2 linked regions of the Yarrowia lipolytica genome follow. Each later gene encodes a partner of the first gene's protein in a complex. Links are inferred from orthologs where the notes say so. Each region holds a gene or a part of one and is shown in the gene's direction. Other genes may lie near its edges.

Evidence for each region. Proteins that work in one complex are often made in the same cells at the same time.
Region 2: the proteins of YALI1_E29709g (region 1) and YALI1_E33234g are in contact, whole or in part, in a cryo-EM structure (PDB 6Z6F), measured with the Saccharomyces cerevisiae proteins. The link is inferred for Yarrowia lipolytica from reciprocal best matches to the Saccharomyces cerevisiae genes HDA1 and HDA3. Residues at the interface, in NP_014377.1 of Saccharomyces cerevisiae: Arg67, Tyr68, Ala70, Ile72, Phe73, Tyr76, Phe77, Glu78, Tyr79, Ile80, His83, Pro87, Arg88, Tyr91, Arg92, Lys95, Leu108, Arg151, Asn167, Asn168, Asp169, Gln466, Ser470, Asp471, Phe475, Val476, Thr477, Pro479, Val481, Ser482; in NP_015505.1 of Saccharomyces cerevisiae: Gln47, Ile48, Ser50, Leu51, His52, Tyr53, Ser54, Leu57, Arg58, Glu61, Thr62, Lys66, Asp68, Val69, Glu72, Thr76, Asn80, Leu91, Ile92, Asp93, His94, Glu323, Leu326, Leu327, Thr328, Glu329, Val408, Asn409, Leu412, Ile416.

The regions. Positions count from the first base shown.
Region 1 is NC_090774.1:2,965,195-2,976,731, reverse strand, and holds YALI1_E29709g (uncharacterized protein), read left to right. Parts: upstream 1-5,824; coding exon 5,825-8,602; downstream 8,603-11,537. Other genes in the region: YALI1_E29776g (uncharacterized protein), read left to right, coding at 1-715; YALI1_E29719g (uncharacterized protein), read right to left, coding at 2,926-4,782; YALI1_E29665g (uncharacterized protein), read left to right, coding at 9,561-9,683, 10,201-11,537. UniProt on the Saccharomyces cerevisiae protein: Responsible for the deacetylation of lysine residues on the N-terminal part of the core histones (H2A, H2B, H3 and H4).
Region 2 is NC_090774.1:3,320,596-3,328,890, forward strand, and holds YALI1_E33234g (uncharacterized protein), read left to right. Parts: upstream 1-2,836; coding exon 2,837-4,687; downstream 4,688-8,295. Other genes in the region: YALI1_E33150g (uncharacterized protein), read left to right, coding at 1-156; YALI1_E33220g (uncharacterized protein), read right to left, coding at 368-1,417; YALI1_E33268g (uncharacterized protein), read right to left, coding at 4,836-6,194; YALI1_E33278g (uncharacterized protein), read left to right, coding at 7,202-7,374, 7,421-7,448; YALI1_E33285g (uncharacterized protein), read left to right, coding at 7,929-8,295. UniProt on the Saccharomyces cerevisiae protein: Required for activity of HDA1 histone deacetylase complex. The HDA1 histone deacetylase complex is responsible for the deacetylation of lysine residues on the N-terminal part of the core histones (H2A, H2B, H3 and H4).

The DNA.
Region 1 (11,537 bases):
TCAGTCGGAAGCTCTGGACTTTGAGACCTTTGACAGAGTCGACCGGTTTTCATCGTCGTCGTCTTTGGAGTCCCCCCAGGCTCTCGACTACCTGGTCCAGGAGCATGCTCCTGTCGCCACCATGCAGCAGCCCCAGCAACAACCTCAGCGCCTGGAACAGCCCCAGCACATGGAGCAACCCCAGACCCACCAGACACAGCCTATCGACTTCTACCAGATTTCTTCTCAACATCAACAGCAACATCAGGCCCCCGTCGTCACCCTGTCGCCCCCCGCGTCGTCTCGATCTTCTTCTCCTTACTCGGTGTCCAACTCTGGCTCCGCTGGTGAGGAGGGCGACGACGCCCCCAAGTTTGTGTGTCCTCACTGCGATTCCACGTTCCGAATCCGGGGATACCTTACCCGACACCTCAAAAAGCATTCTGAGAAGAAGGCCCACACATGCCCCTTCTACGACTGCACCGCCGAGATGCCCTGCCATCCATCGGGCGGCTTTTCACGACGAGACACTTACAAAACTCATCTCAAGGCCCGGCATTTCATCTACCCTCCTGGAACCAAGTCTGCTCAGCGATCGACTACGTCCGGCACCTGTTCGGGCTGTGGCGAGATGTTTGAGTCCAACGAGACCTGGATTGAGGAGCACATTCATAAGGGAGTGTGCAAGGGACTGCCCGACTTTGATGGCGTTCCTGGACGGGTTTGTGCCGAGTAAAAAAGGTAGCAAGCGCACTAGACTATTTATTTATTTATTCCATACTGACGATCAATAAGAGCGACTGATATTTGACAAACGGTGTATCATACGAGTACAAGTACTTGTACTTTGTACATACTGTACTTGTGTCAATTTTGAGATTGCGATAAAATAGACACTGCTTGACCCACACTACTGAATAGTCGGTCCGATAGTGCGTTAAAATTTTCTCGCCCAATTTGACCCCCTACTACTGTAAGTACTGGTATCAACTAAAACGGCTATAACTGCCCTACTCAGAAATATTGTGTACCTTCTACTTCCCTAAGTGCGGATTTACGCTTTACCCGTCTCGCTTGAAGACAGACGTACAGTAGTTTGTTGGCTCGTTTTCGCATCTCCGCATACCCGTTAACATGCTGCGTCTTTTGTGCTCCTCTGGTCCTGTGTGGACTGTGTCTGCGAGGCGTTTATAATAGCCCGGATGAATGAGCTCTCTTATGAAGAGTGTCTCGGAGAAGGTGTGTTTGAGTCATCATGACGAAACCGTGCAGCAGCAAGCTGAACTACCCACAGTGCATATACTGGGTCTACGTTTACGGTGGAGAGGCTGGATTTGGAGGTCTTGGTCTGATCCAAGTAGGCCTATGATAGCGTGGTCTATAGGGCTCGTAGAGGTGCCAGACGACGGTGCATTTTGTATTTCTCGGTTTTTCCACACTAACGATGGGCAGTAGACCAAAAATTAAATCTAAAATGACTTAAGACTTGGAACGTCTTTGTATGAGGAGAGACAACAAAGAGTTTGGTCCCCCCTGTTCTTTGTTTGGCACTGTAACAAAGAAAACGCCCAACTTTTCGGCAACTGTCTCGTTATCTCAGTGTGTGCAAGAGGGTGGAGACGCATGATTGACTTTTGGCACCACAATCGTTCCACCACTTTTGAGGATGACGACACCGGCAATGTGAAACTAATATGACGATCAAGCCACGGTCCAGCGTGTTCGATTCTTTTCCAGTAGGCAATTATTAATGGACTATACGAGACGGCTCAAGGGGAAAAAAGTATACATGTTTCCTTGGAGTAGCCCTATCGGTACACAGTAGCAAGCAAGCCTGATGAACACTTTCTGTACTCAATCGTTACAATGTAACCTCAGCTCCCCCGATAACAGCTCGTGACCAGCATCAGGCCTAACGTTTCACATACGGCTGACCCCATCTTTGCTTGGCGCCCCTGTGTTGACGGACTGGGGTAAGACACTCAAAACCCACGTTGCGTTCCTTGTCGAGAGAGCCCAACAACTCTGTTGAGCGAGGAGGAGCTCGTCGACAAGGAGGGGTTCGTAGCTCTCTTAGCTGCTGACGGGTCTAAACCAAAAGCCATCGTTAGCCGTTGCCGTTGGCTGTTGGAGGTCTCTACCATAGTTGGAGCGATCCGAACATCTCCACGGACCCAGACAAGCCTACGGAACATGTACTGTATTTACTGTATCGACTATACACTGGGCCCTGCAACATTTTCAGATTAAATCACATCTACGGGTCGTTACGAGCTCGCGGTGGAATAAAAAGGCTTTTCGCTGAAGCCAATAGCTCCAAAACTCGGGCTAGTCTATCGTGTGTCCTCAAATTATGTCTCAGCTTGCTTATACTTGTGAGAAATCGCAATCTCCGCTATTGGTGCTTAGATACTTTCTATTCTTCACGGACATCCTTTTGCCGAAATGACTTTCAACCCTCGCTACGAGTAATCAAGGCGTAGAAATGTCCAGGCTAACCCGCACTCAACCAGGGATTGGGTTGAGCGTTTGATATTCACGTGCTCTAGCAGAGCAGACGTTGCTCTACGTTGTTACACTTGGGTCTAATGCAACCCCCAAAACGGAGTACTTGTACCCACATTCCAGACTTCATAATACCACGGAGTTCCGGATCCATGCTTTATCGGTGTCATAGAAAATACATACAGACTTTCTGATAGATAGGTACCTATCACACGTATGGCCAGGGTCTAAAGGTAGGTGACACTATGTTATGCGAATACGATCTCATGTGAGACTCGGGGCGCTTGTAGATCTGTCAAGACTGGTTTTAGACGCTCCGATAGAGACTCCGACATATACTGCACATGCAGGTGACAGATTATTGATAGAAACCCACTCCATGGCGTGGAGATATAAATAAATACTTCAATTACATACGTCTTCGATCAGTCAAAGCTGCTTCTACTTCGGCAATGCACTATCCTTCAAAGGCTGAGCGAGAATCTCCGGGTTGGTGTTGGAACGCTCAGCAGAATTAACATCAAAACTTGCTTGCACGTTAGCCTCTTGAGAAGGCTCTTGCTTCGGCTGATGTTGCTGCTGCTGCGCGGCGGTCACCTCAGAGGGCTGCACAGAGTGATCATTTGATTCCAACTCCGAGTCCAGTCGCATCTCGGCCATGTGCTCCCGTGCATTGTTGACAACAGGAGCGTCTCGCTGGCCAGACACGTCCGGAGCCACTTCCGAGTTGCTGGGCTCAGCTGTCTTGGGTGCAAATTCGTAGGCTGCACGAGCTCGCTCAGAGTGTTTGGCCCCAGCAGGGGCCATGGGCAAAGACGCCTGGTGTCCGTTCTGGTCGGGAACCTCCTGTGCATTCTTTTTAGCCTCTGCCTCCTGCTGAATAGCCTGAGCATGTGCCATCTCGGGAAGAATGCCCTCACTCTTGGGAGGAAGTGGCTCGTATGCAGGCTTGTCGATTCCATGAGACTTGTTGAAGCGCTCCACCTCCTCCCGAGCCTTGCTCTCCTCTGCCAGCACGTTAATTCGCTCTCTCATAAACTCATCGTGCATCATCTTCTGCTCAACATAGTGCTTGTGTGCCACCTTCTGGCCCTCGAGATTTGAGCCCTCCTCCTCAAGGCCGGTCTTCTCGTCCACAACGTACCAACTGATGTATCCATTGAGCATGTCTGTAGCTCGAGGCAGAGTCACACCAGGAGGAGCGCTGTTGATGACAAAGTTCTCCAGACTCTTGCCCTGTCTGACCTGGTCTCTTCGAGTGCTCTGGAAGTCCCGGAAGCCTCTGTACAAGTCTGAGACTCGATCGGCACCTCGCTTGCCTCCAAGATTGACACCTGCAGGTTCCTGGGACTTGGGACCGGCTCCCATAGCATTGTCCTCAGTAGAGCGAGGCATACCCGCACTCTCCTCCTGCATCTGCTCCTGGTCAACAGATTCGTGCAGCGGCGAGGGCTTGGGCGGAGTATGGGGGTTGTTAGGATGGGACTTGTGGAAGGTGAGACGCTCCTTGAGCTTGCAAGAAGCACTGGTCTTCTTGGGCTGGTTACCGTTGGTACCTGAAGAATTCTCAGGCTCCTCCTTGATATCAGCATCCCTCTTGGAGCCCTTCTTCTTGGGAGGCTGCCAGAACATACCCTTGCCTCCGTCTCCAAATCCGTCCCCTCCATGGAAAATGTCCTCAATACACTTGTTGACAGACACTCCCTGGGGCGAGACAAAGTAACCTCGGGCGAATTCTCTTCGATACTCGCACGTCTTGCTCTCTCCGCCGGCATCAGATGTCTCCTTCTGGCTCATGAGACCGAAAATGTGCTGTGTAGAGAGAGGAGGAATCATATAATCTGTATCTCCTCGCAGCTGCTCCATGTTGATGGAGACGTTGAGCAGTGAGTTGACCTTGGACTTTCGGAGCAAGTATCTGTGCGTAATTGGTTCGTCCTGGGCGTATTCAGCGAGATTCAGCTCCACTCGTCCTAGGTGGTTTCTGTCCGAGGTGTTGATCTCCTTGTCATTCTGACGGTCGTTTCTGGACTCCACAAACACATCGAACATGATGGACGAGCCGTGCAGCATCTTATCATCGTCTATTCGCATTCTGAACTCCATGGACGTCTCGTAGTTCCATTCGGCTCGGTGGTTCCGGATTCGAGCGACGTCCGTACGTCCTCGAAAGTCGTTGCGTCGATGGTCGGTGAGATGCCATCGCACGGTCGCCACACCTGTCAGTTGGGGCACATTGGCCAGCTCGATAATTTTGAGCTTGAGATTGAACCGGGGTCGGTCGCTGGATCGGAACATGGTCGTTTTGAGGCCTGAGCGAAAAAAAAATTAGACAACGGCGATGGTGGTACACAAGTTGCTGCATGAGGGAGCTTATCTGGGGTCAGGGGGTTAGGGGAGTTTGAGGGGGCAGGCACTGACCAAACATTATGAACGAGAATATGAGCAGTAGTAAACAAACAACAAGAAACTGCCTTTCACACGACGATATTTGACCTTGGTACAATGTTTATAATCACGTGAACCATCACCTTACTCCATCGATACTTCTCAGACAGGTAGGTCGTTTTCGCCACACCTCCGCATAACCCCAAAGAGGGAGGCTACTTGTAGCGAGACTGGGACAAGGTTCAATTAAAGACACTGCCTACAATAGGTAATGGAACGAAGCGACGCGGAGAGCTACGTTTTTTGTGCAGCAAAGTGCCTTTTCGGAAGTGTAGTACTTTGCAAGTGACTGCTCAGATTAAGACTGTATATGATTCGCCAAGTCAGAACCTCCCCATTTACAAGCTCCAGCATATCCCAGTGTAGGCCAGTACAATCAATAAGCTCTCCGATTGTTGCATGTCTCCGGTAGGTCGATGTGAGGATGGAAGTGGATATTACGAGTGGGATTAAAATGGAGAGGGAGTGCCAGGAGCAATGGGAATGATCACGTGACAACACAAAGTCGCTCAGTGACGACCTGTCACGTGGAAAGCTGCACACATCCCCGGTTACAACCAGTTATTTCGGTTCACATCACCCCCAAGCTTATCTGGACAAGGTGTGAAAAATGGGCGACGCTCCCTTTTTGTGGTTTTAGGGCCTTGTAGTGTCGTATAAGTCACGTGCGGTTTCTAGAGGGTCCACGGCGGCTCCAGTTCGATTTTCGGAAAGGCCAAATACCGTGATTGGTTCAGGGGCGGCAGTAATCCATCGACGGTCTTCTGATGCACTCTACAATCTCTTTAGGCTCCAACCGCGCCCACCACTAGTGATGGACCCAGGGACGTGTGTGATACAGAGCAACCGGGTAAAACCTTCTTAGCCTCACCACCACCACAACACGATAGAAATGGACAGTGATCGGGATATCAAGGACGCGGGGGAGCGTGCAGCGGCCGTCGAGACCAATGTTGGTGAGATTACCGCGCCCGACACGTCTGAAAAACCGCTTCCGGGGGCTGAAACAGCTGCTGATGAGCCCTCTGTTTCGATTGAACAAAAAGCTGAACCTGGTGCTAAGATTGAAGAGGATCACAAGAACGGAGTTGAAGGGAAGGATGAGAAGAAGGAGGAGAATGAGCAAGAGGTAGTCAAAGCAGAGGATAAGACCGACGAGAAGCCCGAAGTGACTGCCAACGATAAAATCGATGAGATAAATGAGGCTCCTGCTAGCACCGACGTCAAGACTGAAGCCGTCGTCGAACCCACCACACACGACACGAACGCCGCAACTAGCACGACCGGAACGGGCACAACCGACACTACAGCAACCACCACTACAGCAACCAACACGAACGAACACGACCTACAGGCGATGCACGACACTGGTGCGGTGGCCGATGGCGATTTGATGGACACGTCGGACGACTATAAAATCAACATGGATCAGGTGCAGCTAGGGGACTATGACAGCGCTTCCATCTCCGGCCAGATTGCTGAGCGAATGGCGCAGCCCATCAAGACGGAGTTCGATACCAACTTTGTGCCCCAGACTCTGTCGCTGGTGGACCTGGAGCACGTCAACGGCAAGCGTAAGTTTGAGGAGACAGACACGCCTGAATTCGACACACAACGCGCCCGTGAACTCATCCTCGACGCAGACGTCAACCCAGCCCTCAAGGCTCCTCAGCTGCGTTACATTCCGCTGAAAACTGGAGTCTGTTACGACGTGCGAATGCGATACCATGCTCGTCTGGTGTCCACATCCTACGACTACGTGGACCCTCATCCAGAGGACCCGAGACGTATTTTCTCAGTGTACAAGGCGCTGGTGGATGCAGGACTAGTGGTGGATCCCGAGTATCTAGGTCTGGAGGACATTGGCCCACTGATGGAAAAGATTCCGATCCGAGAAGCCTCGCTCGACGAGGTTCTGGAGGTGCATACCCCCGCACATGTGGACTTCCTAGCGTCGACGGAGAAGATGAACCGACCGCAGTTACTGGAGGAGGGCGAAAAGGGCGACTCGGTCTATTTCAACAATGAGTCGTTCAGTGCAGGCAAATTGTCCTGTGGAGGAACCATTGAGACGTGTAGAGCCGTGATCGAGCGGAATGTCAAGAACGCCATTGCCGTCGTTCGTCCACCAGGCCATCACGCCGAGCCTGGCAACCCTGCTGGCTTTTGCATGTTTTCCAACGTGGCTGTGGCTGCCAAGGTGCTACTGAAACGGTACCCTGAGCGAGTTAAGCGGATCCTGATTCTCGACTGGGATGTTCATCACGGAAACGGTACCCAACGAGCCTTTCTGGATGACCCTAGGGTGCTTTACATTTCTCTGCACCAGTACGAGAACGGAAAATTCTACCCTGGAGGCACATTTGGAGCTCACACGTCTGTGGGAACTGGAGCTGGAGAGGGATACAGTGTCAACATTCCCTGGAGTGCCCCTGGAGCTGGCGATGCAGACTACATTTACGCATTCCAAAAAGTCGTCATGCCAATTGGTATGGAGTTTGACCCTGATTTTGTGATTGTGTCAGCTGGTTTCGACGCAGCCGAGGGTGATCTTCTTGGTGGGTGCAAGATTACGCCTTCGGGATATGGTCACATGACCCACATGCTCAAGGGCCTGGCTTCTGGAAACCTGGCTGTGGTGCTGGAGGGAGGTTACACTTTGGAGGCCACTGCCAAGTCTGCCTTGGCCGTCACCAAGGTGCTTCTTGGAGAGGCGCCTCTTCCTCTTCCTGCGGCCTTCAAGCCCACCTCTGCAACTATCTCTGTTGTCCAGGATGTGGTCGAGACCCAGTCTCAGTACTGGCGATGTCTGCAGCCTGGCTTTGAGACTATCATTCCCAAGGAGATCACCACGTACGATCTGATGGGTGACGTCGTTCGATCCTACCAGGCACGCAAGCTGTTCGACAAGTACAAGCTATCGGCTCTTCCAAACATGGGAGGAAGCAGCAGTACGCCATCTGGACGGGCTGCCACTGCTGGTCCTGCTTCAGGATCGTCAATCTCTCTGGCAGACCAGATTCTTGCATCACCAAAAATCCACTCGGCCGAAACCGTGGTTGTGTTTGTGCATGATCCTCCTCAGATCTGGGGTAAGGTGGACGCTGTCACTGGCGAGCTTGACTTTGATTCCTGCATGGTTGACGTGACGACAAAGTGGCTGGAGTGGGCACATGGACGGGGATACGGTATCATTGACGTCAACATTCCCAAGGCTTTGAATGGAGCTGACGACGACAACTACTATGCACTGTTTGCCAGCCAGGAGGTGTGCCTGTATCTGTGGGACAAGTACCTCAGTGTGTTTGACGCGCAGAACGTGATCATGGTGGGCTTTGGTGATGCCTACGCTGGTCTGGTGCATCTGGTAGGCCACCGAGACACCCGAGAAAAGGTCAACTGCGTCATCAACTTCATCTCCGAGACCCAGCTGCGCCCTATTGTCTCCATTATTGACGAGTACATCACCGACTGGTTCTACCGATCGTCACTGGTTTTCACTGCGGACACCCATCCCTGCTGGGATGTGAGCACTAACCCCAAGAAGCCAAGGCGTAAGTTTGGACGAGTGCTCCGATGTGACAGCACCGGTCTACATCGAATTGTGGAGGAACGGTTCAAGGAAGCAGTTGAGTTCATTGACGAGCAGCTGGAGGATGATGAGGAGTAGAGAGAGAGTGTGCAAAATAAAACGAAATGATGTATTTTTATATAGAACCCCTGAAGTCAAATGATTTGAGCTGTATGTACGGTACATACTGTACCTACTGTATCATGTGCATAAATTGTACAGTAGTGTGAGTGAGTAAAAGAAGATTGATTGGTAATATAGTGGTTCAAGTACTGGTAACCGGCAGTGTACCCTGTGTTCAAAAATTATAAAAATATATGCCTTCGACCAGATTTGAACTGATGATCTCAGCATTACTAGTGCTGCGCCTTACCACTTGGCCACGAAGGCGGCTATAAACTTTTTGAGGATGGTAGCCATGGAGTCCTGACACGAGAACTCATAATCTGTTCCCTAGAATAAAAAAACCTGTTAAAAAAGCACAAAATGATGTATCTGTTGACTGTTTCATCTTTAAGCCTTTTCTGACGTTTATTATACTGTGAGAATAAGCTCTGACCAGAAGTTAGGACAATACAACTTTCCGTACAGCATGATTATGGTTCCCTCTTGGGCTCAAATTTATACCACATTCTTCTCTTACCTGAGTTAAAAGAAAAAAATCTGAAGTGCCATTGAGACTCATGTACAGTAGCTACATAAATAGATTTGATAATACAAAAAATTCAACGTAGTATATAAGGAGCCTGTCAAAATTTGGCAAACAGGGCAACCATAACATCCTTCTATATTCCACGATGACACTTTCACATCATATGACTTACAACCTATGTAACCTTAAATCCGGCCGGGTAACCCTAACTACAATATGGTACCAGTTTTTGCGCAACCCACTCTCCTTCATCCACACAACATCTCAGCACTCAGCAAAACATTCTACGACAACACAAACACAGTACTCGTATCGTATCAAGTGGTATTATTGTAGTACAGTATTTTGCCCCCAGCTTTGACACACGCACTAAACACACAAATCACGACACACACACAAACACAAATGTCTTCGGCAGTGGAAACTGAATTCGAGGCGCTTTTGGCATCCATGTTGGTGGCAAAGGCTCCAGGAGTGTCTGGCTCCAAGATTAACGGAATTCGAGAGTTGGCCATGAAGAACGTTGATGTGAGTATTATCCTGACTTTTGTGACGACCAACCGGTAGATCGTATGGTATATATGGAGGTGAGACGCAACGGTGACAATGATGACGACAACACACGAGTGATATCAGGGACTTTTATCGTATGAACTGACACGCTTGTCCAGTGTCTATTTATCAATGTGTCTTATTGTCGGAACATTAACAAATGATACCCTTATTTTGTTCTTACACAAGTGGAGATGGCGACCCGGCTGCCACACCTACAATACAAAAAAAATCACCGTTATTTCACACTGTTATTTTGCTTTCATTGCAGTAAAACACGCGCGCGCAGTATAACACGTACACAGTAATCAGTTGTACGTTGCAACTGTACCATTGTATCTGGTTTGAGGGTGAACGAACATCTTGTCACACTCCAATATGGTGATAAGATGGCTCCCCAAGTTTTCAAATCATCTCAAACCACTATCGTAACCACCGTAACCTACGAGATCATGGTACCCCATAGCCCTTCCCCAACGTATTACTAACCCAGATGGAATCCACTCTCATTCCCATCCTTGAGCGACATCTCAACAAGACTCCTCTGAGCCACAAGCTTGGAGCCATGTATGTTCTAGATGCCGTTGCTCGAGCGTACCAAGAGGAGAACAAGAAGGTTGGCCATGCTCTGAACCCCCAAGCTCCCGACGGCTCCCATGCCAAGGGTCTTTTCCGAATCTCTGAGTTTGTCGAGAGAGCTGCTCGAGAGTGTGTAGACCATACTTCCTCTGACGACACTCGAGACAAGCTGGACAAGCTGGTGGAGATTTGGCAGAAGGCTGGAACTTTCCCCCCTGACTCCATGCAGAGAATGCGGGGCTTCTTTAGTATGTCCAAGACCCCTGAGCAGTCTCCTCCCTCGCAGCTGATTGATCTCATTAACCAGGGCCAGCCCCCTGTCACTGGATCCACAGCAGCTCCTGCTGGAGGCGCCAATGCTGCTGCTGCTCTGGCCGCTGTTCTTGGCGGTGCTGCTCCCTCTGCTCCCGCTGCCTCCAACCCCGTGCCTACTGATACAGCCTCCATTCTGCAGGCTCTTGCTAGCATGAACGCTGGCGCTGCCGCGGGCGCACCTGCCCCCGCACCCGCTGCCAACCCCAATGCTGCTGCTGATGTGCTCAAGATGATCATGGCTCAGTCTGGCGGTGCTCCTCCTACCATGCCCGGTGGAGATGTCAACCAGGCCTGGAACCTTCCGTCGAGAGACCCCCGAGACCCCCGAGATCCCCGAGACAACTTCCGAGACCGTTCTAGAGAGTACAGAGACAGGGACCCCCGGGACCGAGATCCCCGAGACCGTGATTTCGGACGAGACCGAAACTACCGAGACCGTTCTGGAGACCGAGGGGGAGACCGAGGAGGAGATCGGGACTTTGGCCGAGGCCGAAACCAGAACCGACAACCTCCCGGAACCGACACCTTTGAGGACGACGCTCCTCCTCCCACCGAGAAGAAGGTCACCTACGACAACTCTTTGCCTCCTGGAACCATCAAGGTGCTGTCTCGAACTATCTTCATTGGAGGTGTGACTATGTCGACCACTAACGAGGAGCTTCTATCCATTCTGCGACCCTATGGCCGAACCCAGTCGCTGGTAATGCACAGAGAGCGAAAGCACGCCTTCTGTAAAATGTACACTCGAGCTGAGGCCGAGGCCGTTCTGCAGAACTTCACCCGACTCAACCAGCAGGGCAGTATCACTCTGCGAGCCCGATGGGGTGTCGGTTTCGGTCCTCGAGACTGCTCCAACTACCAGACCGGTATTTCCGTCATCCCCATTGCCACGCTTACCGAGGCAGACATGAAGTGGGTGGTTTCTGCTCCCTACGG
Region 2 (8,295 bases), about 350 kb from region 1:
CATACCATTCGAAACTTGCGACGGCGATTTGTTCTGGAGAAGACTGAAGCTCAGGCCGCCACTCACTTCCGAGGACTCATCAAGAAGTCCATCGAGTCTTTCTACACCAAGGGCTACGACGAGTTCCAGCGAATCACAAACGGTATTCCTTATTAAGCGGATTTGTTTTTCAACGGATGTATGTACTACATTGTAGTCGGAGGATCTTATGTGGGTTAATATTATTATGTGAATGATTGTTATTGTGTTTGTAAGTACAGTATGTACTTGTAGATCTGAATCAATGTTTACTACGGTTGCGTTCCAAGAAGCTAGCATCAACAATATATTACATCATCCAATACAGAAAACCAAACTGTCAACTGCATTACAACCTGTAGATCGGACTTTCTCCGTTGATTCCATCAAAGACGTAAAAGTTGTCGATGGGAATCTGTGATCGGGCCAGATAATTGAGCACCTCCTGAGCAATACCTCCTCCCATGATCGATGCAGTTGTGGCAATCTCTGCGTCCTTGCTAGTGAGCACCTGTTGTGCCAGTTCCTCAGAAATGATTCCCAGAGGCAGCTGCAGCTTCGAACACTGCTCCACACCCAGCTCGTGGAACTCCTTTGCACTCAAATCGCCCCACGACTTTCCGGGGTTTGTCTGTTCGTACTCCCAGCCTGTAAACAGAAGAGGCACGTATCCGGGGATTCGAGACTTGTGCTTAGGTCGCATGTGAGCAAAGGGCTTCGGCGTCTGAACAGCCTCGAGCACCTGCTTGAACGGCTTAAAGCTCTGCTTGAGAGAAGCACTGTAGTTTCCAGTCTCTAACTCAACTGTCCCCACCAAGGTAGCCTGCTCAGGGATGCTCATGGTCGAGGGCTTGTTGGGAGTCTCAATTTTGTAAGTATACTCTCTGAAATCAATGAAGGCGTAGGAGAAGAGACCAGAGATGCCCACGCAGATGTTAGTGGTGTCTGTCTCTTCACACAGGGTTGTAATGTGCACAATCTCCTTCAGAGTGGCCTGGGTGATAACCACGAGGTCGAACTTGCCCACAAATTCCTTGTCCAGGTCCAAAATGACCTTGTCCACCGTCTCCACGGTAACGTGTCGATTCAGCTGTGAGATTCGAGGCAGGGCAGATTCTCCTCGGTTTTTGTTCTCGTCGCCCTCCTGCACGAAAAACTGTGCTCCAAAGTCGGCATCAGAGGTGACGTGCGCATCCACGATAGTCAACGAGCCGATACCTGCGAGCACCAGGTCCTTGACGATTTCGTTGGCGACTGCCCCGATGTTGATGAGTAGGATCTTGGAGTTACGCATCCGCGCCTGCGATTCCATGCCCCACAGTCGAATCTGCCGGTCATAAAGTGCCACCTCGTCGGCCGAGATCGTGTTTTCCGTCTTGCCCACGCTGGTTTCCGTCATTGCTGGTGTTGAAAGGTGCAATTGAGATCAGGAAACTCAAACGCGTTGTGATAATATGCAGGATAATGAGTGAAGGTCTGAGATGTCAGAGGTGAATCAGGGTTGTGCGGAGGAGTCGGACGAGAAGAATAATGAGAGGTTATCTGCGAAGTTATGCCTAATGATACTGTAAGACTACAATACAATATAGTGTATAGGAGTTCATGGTGCCATCTTGGGCAATGTGCTCTTTTCAACGCTTGTAGTTGATTTGGAATTCATTGTAAATTTACTGTAGTTTCAACGGCCCAGTAGAGAGCACGGATTCGATGTTCCAGTTACTTCTGGAGTTCTCATCAGTCTTGATAATAAAACGACACCAGTCTTTCCCACTGCTGCTTATAGTATAATGGTCTCAATAATTTGTCTCATCCATAACTGATAGACACGAATTGATAGTCCTGCGTGTGGTGTAACAATCTTCCTCAGTCTCAGGGTTCAATGTATGTAAACGAGAAATGGACCCCAAACCTGTAGAAACGATATTATTCCCCACAACAATCCTAGTGTCTGGTCTCGTTCAGTAGCTCTTGATCTCTCTGTTGCAGTGCTCCTGACAAACGTATCACAATGCATGATTACTAAGCATGCGATTTCTATGTGCTTGTGGAATGAGAGATACAAGTACCAGCACTTCTACAGTACAAGTACAAGTACAAGAGAATGTATTTATTTTTATACACGCTAAAATTGCTATCAATGGATGGATCAAACAGCACAGCAAATATAGGCCTTCCCTGAAGGTCACGTTAGCTACTACAAGTAATACAACAACCACACCACATACTGTATTATACTCTCTACAGTATTTGCCCAGTCCTATTAGCACACACTAAAGACGCTTACAAGTGACCAACACGTAATTTCACACCAGTGCCTGTACACACGATGGCCTATGTAGTTTATCAAGATATAGATTACTAAGCAGATGATTGCGGTGTTACGAGCAGGGTGACTGAAATACCATTACTTGTACAAGAAATCTATCCGATATCTGGCATTTCTGGAGGTCAAAAACGTGACATTCTTGCTGATATGAAAATCACCGTCGTTTCTTACACCCCACAGAAAAACAGAGGATAAGGGCAACCAACTTAATGGTACGTAAGCTTCCCTACAGCAGGTGGGATGTATACTTCAAAAACGTGAAATATGGCTCTCGAATGAGCTGAAATTTGGACATAATCTTAGAAATTCCATTTCAAGCCCTCCACGTGAATTTTACACCTCGATCACCACTCCTACGCGAATTTGAACGTTGTCAAATACTGACGACCACGAGCCAAACCTTAACTTGACGCAGACACTCTCTCACCACTTCATCTCTTCCTCACGACATTCTGATCTCTATCTGCATCAAGTCCCCTGACACCTACTAAAATGGACATTGGAAAAATTCTGGACGTGACGCCGGAGCCGATTCTCTCGACAGATGCGGTGATCAACGCTGCTTCCGACAACCGCAGCATGGATTACTGTCTGCCAGTCCAGATGGCCGAGTTCCAACGAGAACTGACGGACCAGGTGGTCAACCTGCATTATTCTGACATTCTGCGGTTCTACGACACAATCAGTCCGACACAAAATCAGTCGTGCGCACCCTCTGATTGGGCCGATTCTCTGGGAGCCATGTATCAGGACTCGTTACTGGTTGCAACCCATCCGTACCTGCTGGTGGACCACTACATGCCCCGGAGCCTGTTGCTGAAAGAAATCCCCGACAAGCTGGCGCGTACCAGTGCCAAGTTCGCCGTGCTAGGCGACATTGTGTCACTGCTGGAAAACAAGCAATACAATGTGGCTCTGATAGCGCGGTCAGGAAAGACGTTGGATTTGGTGGAGGCATTTCTGCACGGCAAGCCTGTTTCTTTCGAGAGACATACAGGCCCATATCTGAGAGAGCCGTCGGCCAAGCAGCGAGCACACAAAACGACCATTCATGTCATGTCGTCGTCGCTGCTGGAGAGTAGTTACAATGGCGATCATCGTTTTGATCTGGTGATTGCCTTCGACAGCACGTTCAACCCAGCAGAGGTGCATGTGGAGGCTCTACGGATGCACAAGAGGAACATTCCCGCTCCCGTGTTGCGTCTGGTATCAAACCTCTCTGCTGAGCATGTCGCATACAGCTTTGGACTCACTGCTAACCCCGATAGAGTGTTTACGGAAGAGGTGATTGCAGCTCTAGTGGTGCTGAGAGACAAATCTGGAACAATCCCCGCTGAGATGAAGTCGTTGTACCTGCAGCAGCTTCAGCCATTGGCCTACTGGTTTGCCGATTTGTCTCTTCCTTGGCCACTTCCCGATCTAGCACCCATTTCCGGGTACTCCAAATTGGACGTGGAGACCTCAATGGCCTCGTCGTATCATCGTCGATCGGCCATTCCTGGAACCGCCAATGACCCTACGGACAATTCTTCTCAGCCTTCTAAGCGGTACAAGCTGGACCCTATCAGCGCAGACCACTTTGCTCCTCCACACGATTATGCACATGGTCGATGGACAGGTTTGACACAGGGGCTTCTGGAGCAATACAACTCGCTTGTTGGCCGAGAACGGCAACTAGTGTCGGAAATCGAGTCGCACAGGAAGCTCGCAACTACGCAGCAGCTCAAAATGGAGTCTCAACAGGACGAGATTGCGCGTCAGGTGCGTCAACACGCGTCCTTCGAGGAGACTATTGGCAAGCTGGAGCGAAAGATCGAACGAGGAGAATCAGATGCGGTTCGAAAAGAGGAGGCAGTTGTTCGATTGCAGGATGAGGTTGCTTCTCTGAAGGCTATTTTGGCTTCTGGAGAGGACGCAGACATCAAAACCAAACAGCAGGAGGAGATTCAGGCGCTGAAGACGAGCCTGCAAAAGGCCAATGCTACTGCTGATGCTCGGTCCAATGAGAATGACTACATGCGTTCCGAATACCAAAAGGCATCCGAGAGCGCGTCCGAGGCGTTGGCGAAGGTGGGATTGCTTACAACCGAGCTGGCTGAGGCCAACCAGCGTGCCGATGGTGAGTTTTCTGCCCTCAGAAAGCTCACATTCGACGAAGAGCGAGAAATTCGGGATTCGGAGATTGCAGAGCTCAAGGTTAAGGTGGAGAACTTGGAGGAGCAGCTCAAGAGACAGAGCGAGGCAGCTCCCAAGACATCACGTGCGAGGTACGGTGTGAGATCGAGCTCGGTTCCTAGACGAGCTCTTTCTCCTGCCGATGGACCTAATACGCAGTCAGAGTAGACGGATGACGAATGATGAAATATATTATGTATTATAGGAGGTTTAATTAATTACTGACGGATTGAGTGGTTCTATTTTTACTTACAAGTACTTGTAGTTTGAATGCAATATATTACCGATACGGTATGTGTTCCTACCCCTTCAACGCCTACTCCTTGCACCACAACTTCACTGTTCGATCCCAGCCACAGGTGGCGAAGTACTCGTTTCCAGGTCCCAAATCCATGCCCATGATTCGGTCTTGCGTCTTCCACCTTTTAGCCAGGGTCCACGAATCGGCATTCCAGATGTTAAAGTCGCCATCGTATCCCGTAGATGCGAGAAATGAGCCCGACTTGTCAAACTGAACACTCGACACAATCTTTGTATGTGCAGGGATTGTGTGGGAACATTTTTGAGCACGCAGATCCCATATTCTGACAGATCCGTCAGCAGATCCAGATGCAAGATAGAACCCGTTACCAGACCATCCCAGACTGTATATCTCTCGGATATGGCCTTCCAGAGTCTGAATACTTCGTCCAGATCGCATATCCCACACTCTGCCTACTGCATCCAAGCCAGCAGAGGCTACTAGAGCTCCATCCGGGTGGAAGGCCACAGAGTGGACACCCTTAGAGTGTCCTTCTTGAGACAACAGCTTGGTACCGCTCTCAATGTCCCACAGAGCCCAGGTGTAGTCATAGGACGCGGTAGCAGCCCACTGCCCGCTTGGATGAACGTCTAGACCTGCGATACGGCCCTTGTGGGCTTCAGACACCGTTCTGTATGCAGTATGTTCGTTGCCTTCTGTGCTGGAATCCCAGAACAGCAGCTTTCCCTCTCCACATCCACTCAGCAAGATATTACGTGCCCATTTCAAAGCACTTACTTTATCCACGTGCCCTCTCAACACAGCCTTGGTATTCAGATTCGGTACATCCATTAGCTTGATCTCGCCGTTCCACGATGATGCAGCCAGTATAGAGTCGCTTCCAAAAGCCACGGCCCCTGCTGGACGTGTGGAAACGAACTGTGATCCCAGAAGCTGATACTGCTCTATAGGGGCCATCTTATCTCGTCGTAGGTTAACTGTCTCCACCAGGGACAATTCCGACTGTTGCTTTTGTGTCGTGAGTCGGTCCCTTGCTCTCAAGATACTGTCGTTTGTTATCTGCCTCCTTGCATCAAGCAACTCTTCACTTCCTGGCGTAAAAAACTCGTCGTCGTCCATAGAAACGTCAGAATCGCTCTCTTCGTCCTGCAGACCTTCCCGATCAAACTCGTCCACCATTAGCTGACCCAGACGGGTCCGTCGATCAGCTTTGTCTTCTGCGAAAAGAGTAATGGGCTCATTCAACGATCGTAGTTTCGCTCTAACATCCTTATCGTCTGTAGGAACATGCAGTTTTTTGAGAATATCAGCTCGACGTTGTTTTTCCAACAGCTGACGGGCCGCAACGGCCTCTTCCCGAACTGAAGAAGAGTCCACCGTCGTCTTGATCGACTCCAGATCCACAAGTTCCATGTTGGTGATGAAGACAATTAGGTTGGGAGGTGCAGAATTGATACATTTGATTACTAAAGCGATATGGAGTGCTAAAGCAGGATTATGCAATGAGTGAAAGGCCCGAATAAACTATTGTAAGGTCAGGGTTGTTCAGATTTGCAGCTAGAGAGCAAGAAATATCGGCCACTTATTAACCACAGGTTATGAGTTTCTTGCAGCTCCTGCCTGTTCGATCCCCATAACTGTGGATATTATTCACTACTTGTAGCTCTGTTTAGATAATAGCTGATGAAGATGGTGGCGATATTTACAGAAAAATCGACTTTGGAAAAAACAACAACACGCAGGCGACTCCACATGCTGCTTCGATATACTGACCTCCGCCTACCTTCCCTTCACATGAATGATAAAAAACTCGTTCGGAGTTTAGCTCTAAAAGCGAAAGTGCGGAGAATGTGGGAACAGGATACAACTATAGAATGATAAAGTGATAGAAAAAGAGCTACTGAAACGAATAATGCGGGCATAGAAATAGCTTCAGAGCCTCACGTAACTTGTGTTTAGTTTGGCCTCTCCTAATACCTCAATCATCGCTCGCTATTAGCTCTCAGATGCCAATAATAATAAGACGCAGTAGATCGCCTAAGCAAGTTTAAACGGAATGTGTTGAGGCTATTTCAGTGTGGAGGAGTTATAAAGTGCAAAGAAGGGGGAGGAAGGATGTTTGAGTTGCCGGAAGGCATTCAATATATAGGAAATTCTGTTAAGAAAGAATCTCTTCCAAGCCCCAACCGTTGGCGCCCATCAATGGTGTGTTTAATAAACCCCGCTGACAACCGCATCCATGCATTCCCCGGAGTTAATATCTCACCTCCTGATATCTAGATGCAGCTTCGAAAGCTAAAGTGGCTACATTCACTACAGACCACAGGCAGTAAGCATCCGACACACAAGTGCACCTGTCTATAACCCCCACAATTTCTTCTCTTGTTGCACACCAACACCAACACCACAGAAACACAACAATGGCGATCCCCCACTTGGAGTGTCTGCAGAAATGCGTCCACGAGCTCCATGCCCTGTTGCATCAGCACTACCACGAGTTCCAGGCTTCTCCGGTCGCTTACCTTCATTCGAAGCACGACTGCGTGAGGGCTGAGGTAATTGAGCATTTCCAGAATGCCACTACCTATGAAAAGTGAGAATAAGCGAAGGATGAGACTGTTTGAGTACTACTAACCCAGATTTCGAGATGCGGTATTTATTGTGTGAGTATACACGGTCCCATTGAGAATCAAAACGACACAAGTAAAAGGCGATCTTACAGAGATACCATTGACGCCATGACACTCACGACGTTTTACCCATGAGATCTTGGAGCAATTATTCACAGAGGCTTCTCTTGGCCGTACATCCGACCGTCCGACCGGGAGCACACGGACATGATATCAGTCATCATATGTTAGCTACGACATACAATTAACAGCTACTCGCTGTTCATGTGATTTGATCTGGAAACGATGAGCTAGAGCAACCCAGCCATGTATATACTAACTCAGCGTCATTCTCACAGCCCTTGGCAACTTCCTTTCTTTTATTCACACCATCTTTGCTGATGGACTTCAAAACACATTCCGTTTCCATGCCAGAAAAGTGACCAAAAAGATTCTCGACATTCCCTTCATCAAGGCTAAGATTGACAAGGAGACAGGGGTTGTGATTGAGAAGATCCAGAACGACATTATCGTCCGAATGCCCGGCACCCAAATCTTTGGGACTCTCCCTGCTGAAGGTATGACCAACACAGAGGTCATCACTGAGATGTCTAAGTACCACGATATGAAGCGAACCTTCTGGGAAAAGGGTCGTGTAAGTGGAGCTGTCTACCACGGAGGTAAGGAGCTCACAGACCTGCAATCCGAGGCATTCTCCCAGTTCACAGTGGCGAACCAGCTTCATCCCGATGTCTTCCCGGGTGTCCGAAAGATGGAGTCTGAGGTTGTTGCTATGGTTCTGGCTCTTTTCCATGGCCCTGAGGGCTCTTGCGGAACCTCTACATCTGGAGGTACCGAGTCTCTCCTGCTGACTTCTCTGGCCGCCAAGATGAAGGCCTACAACG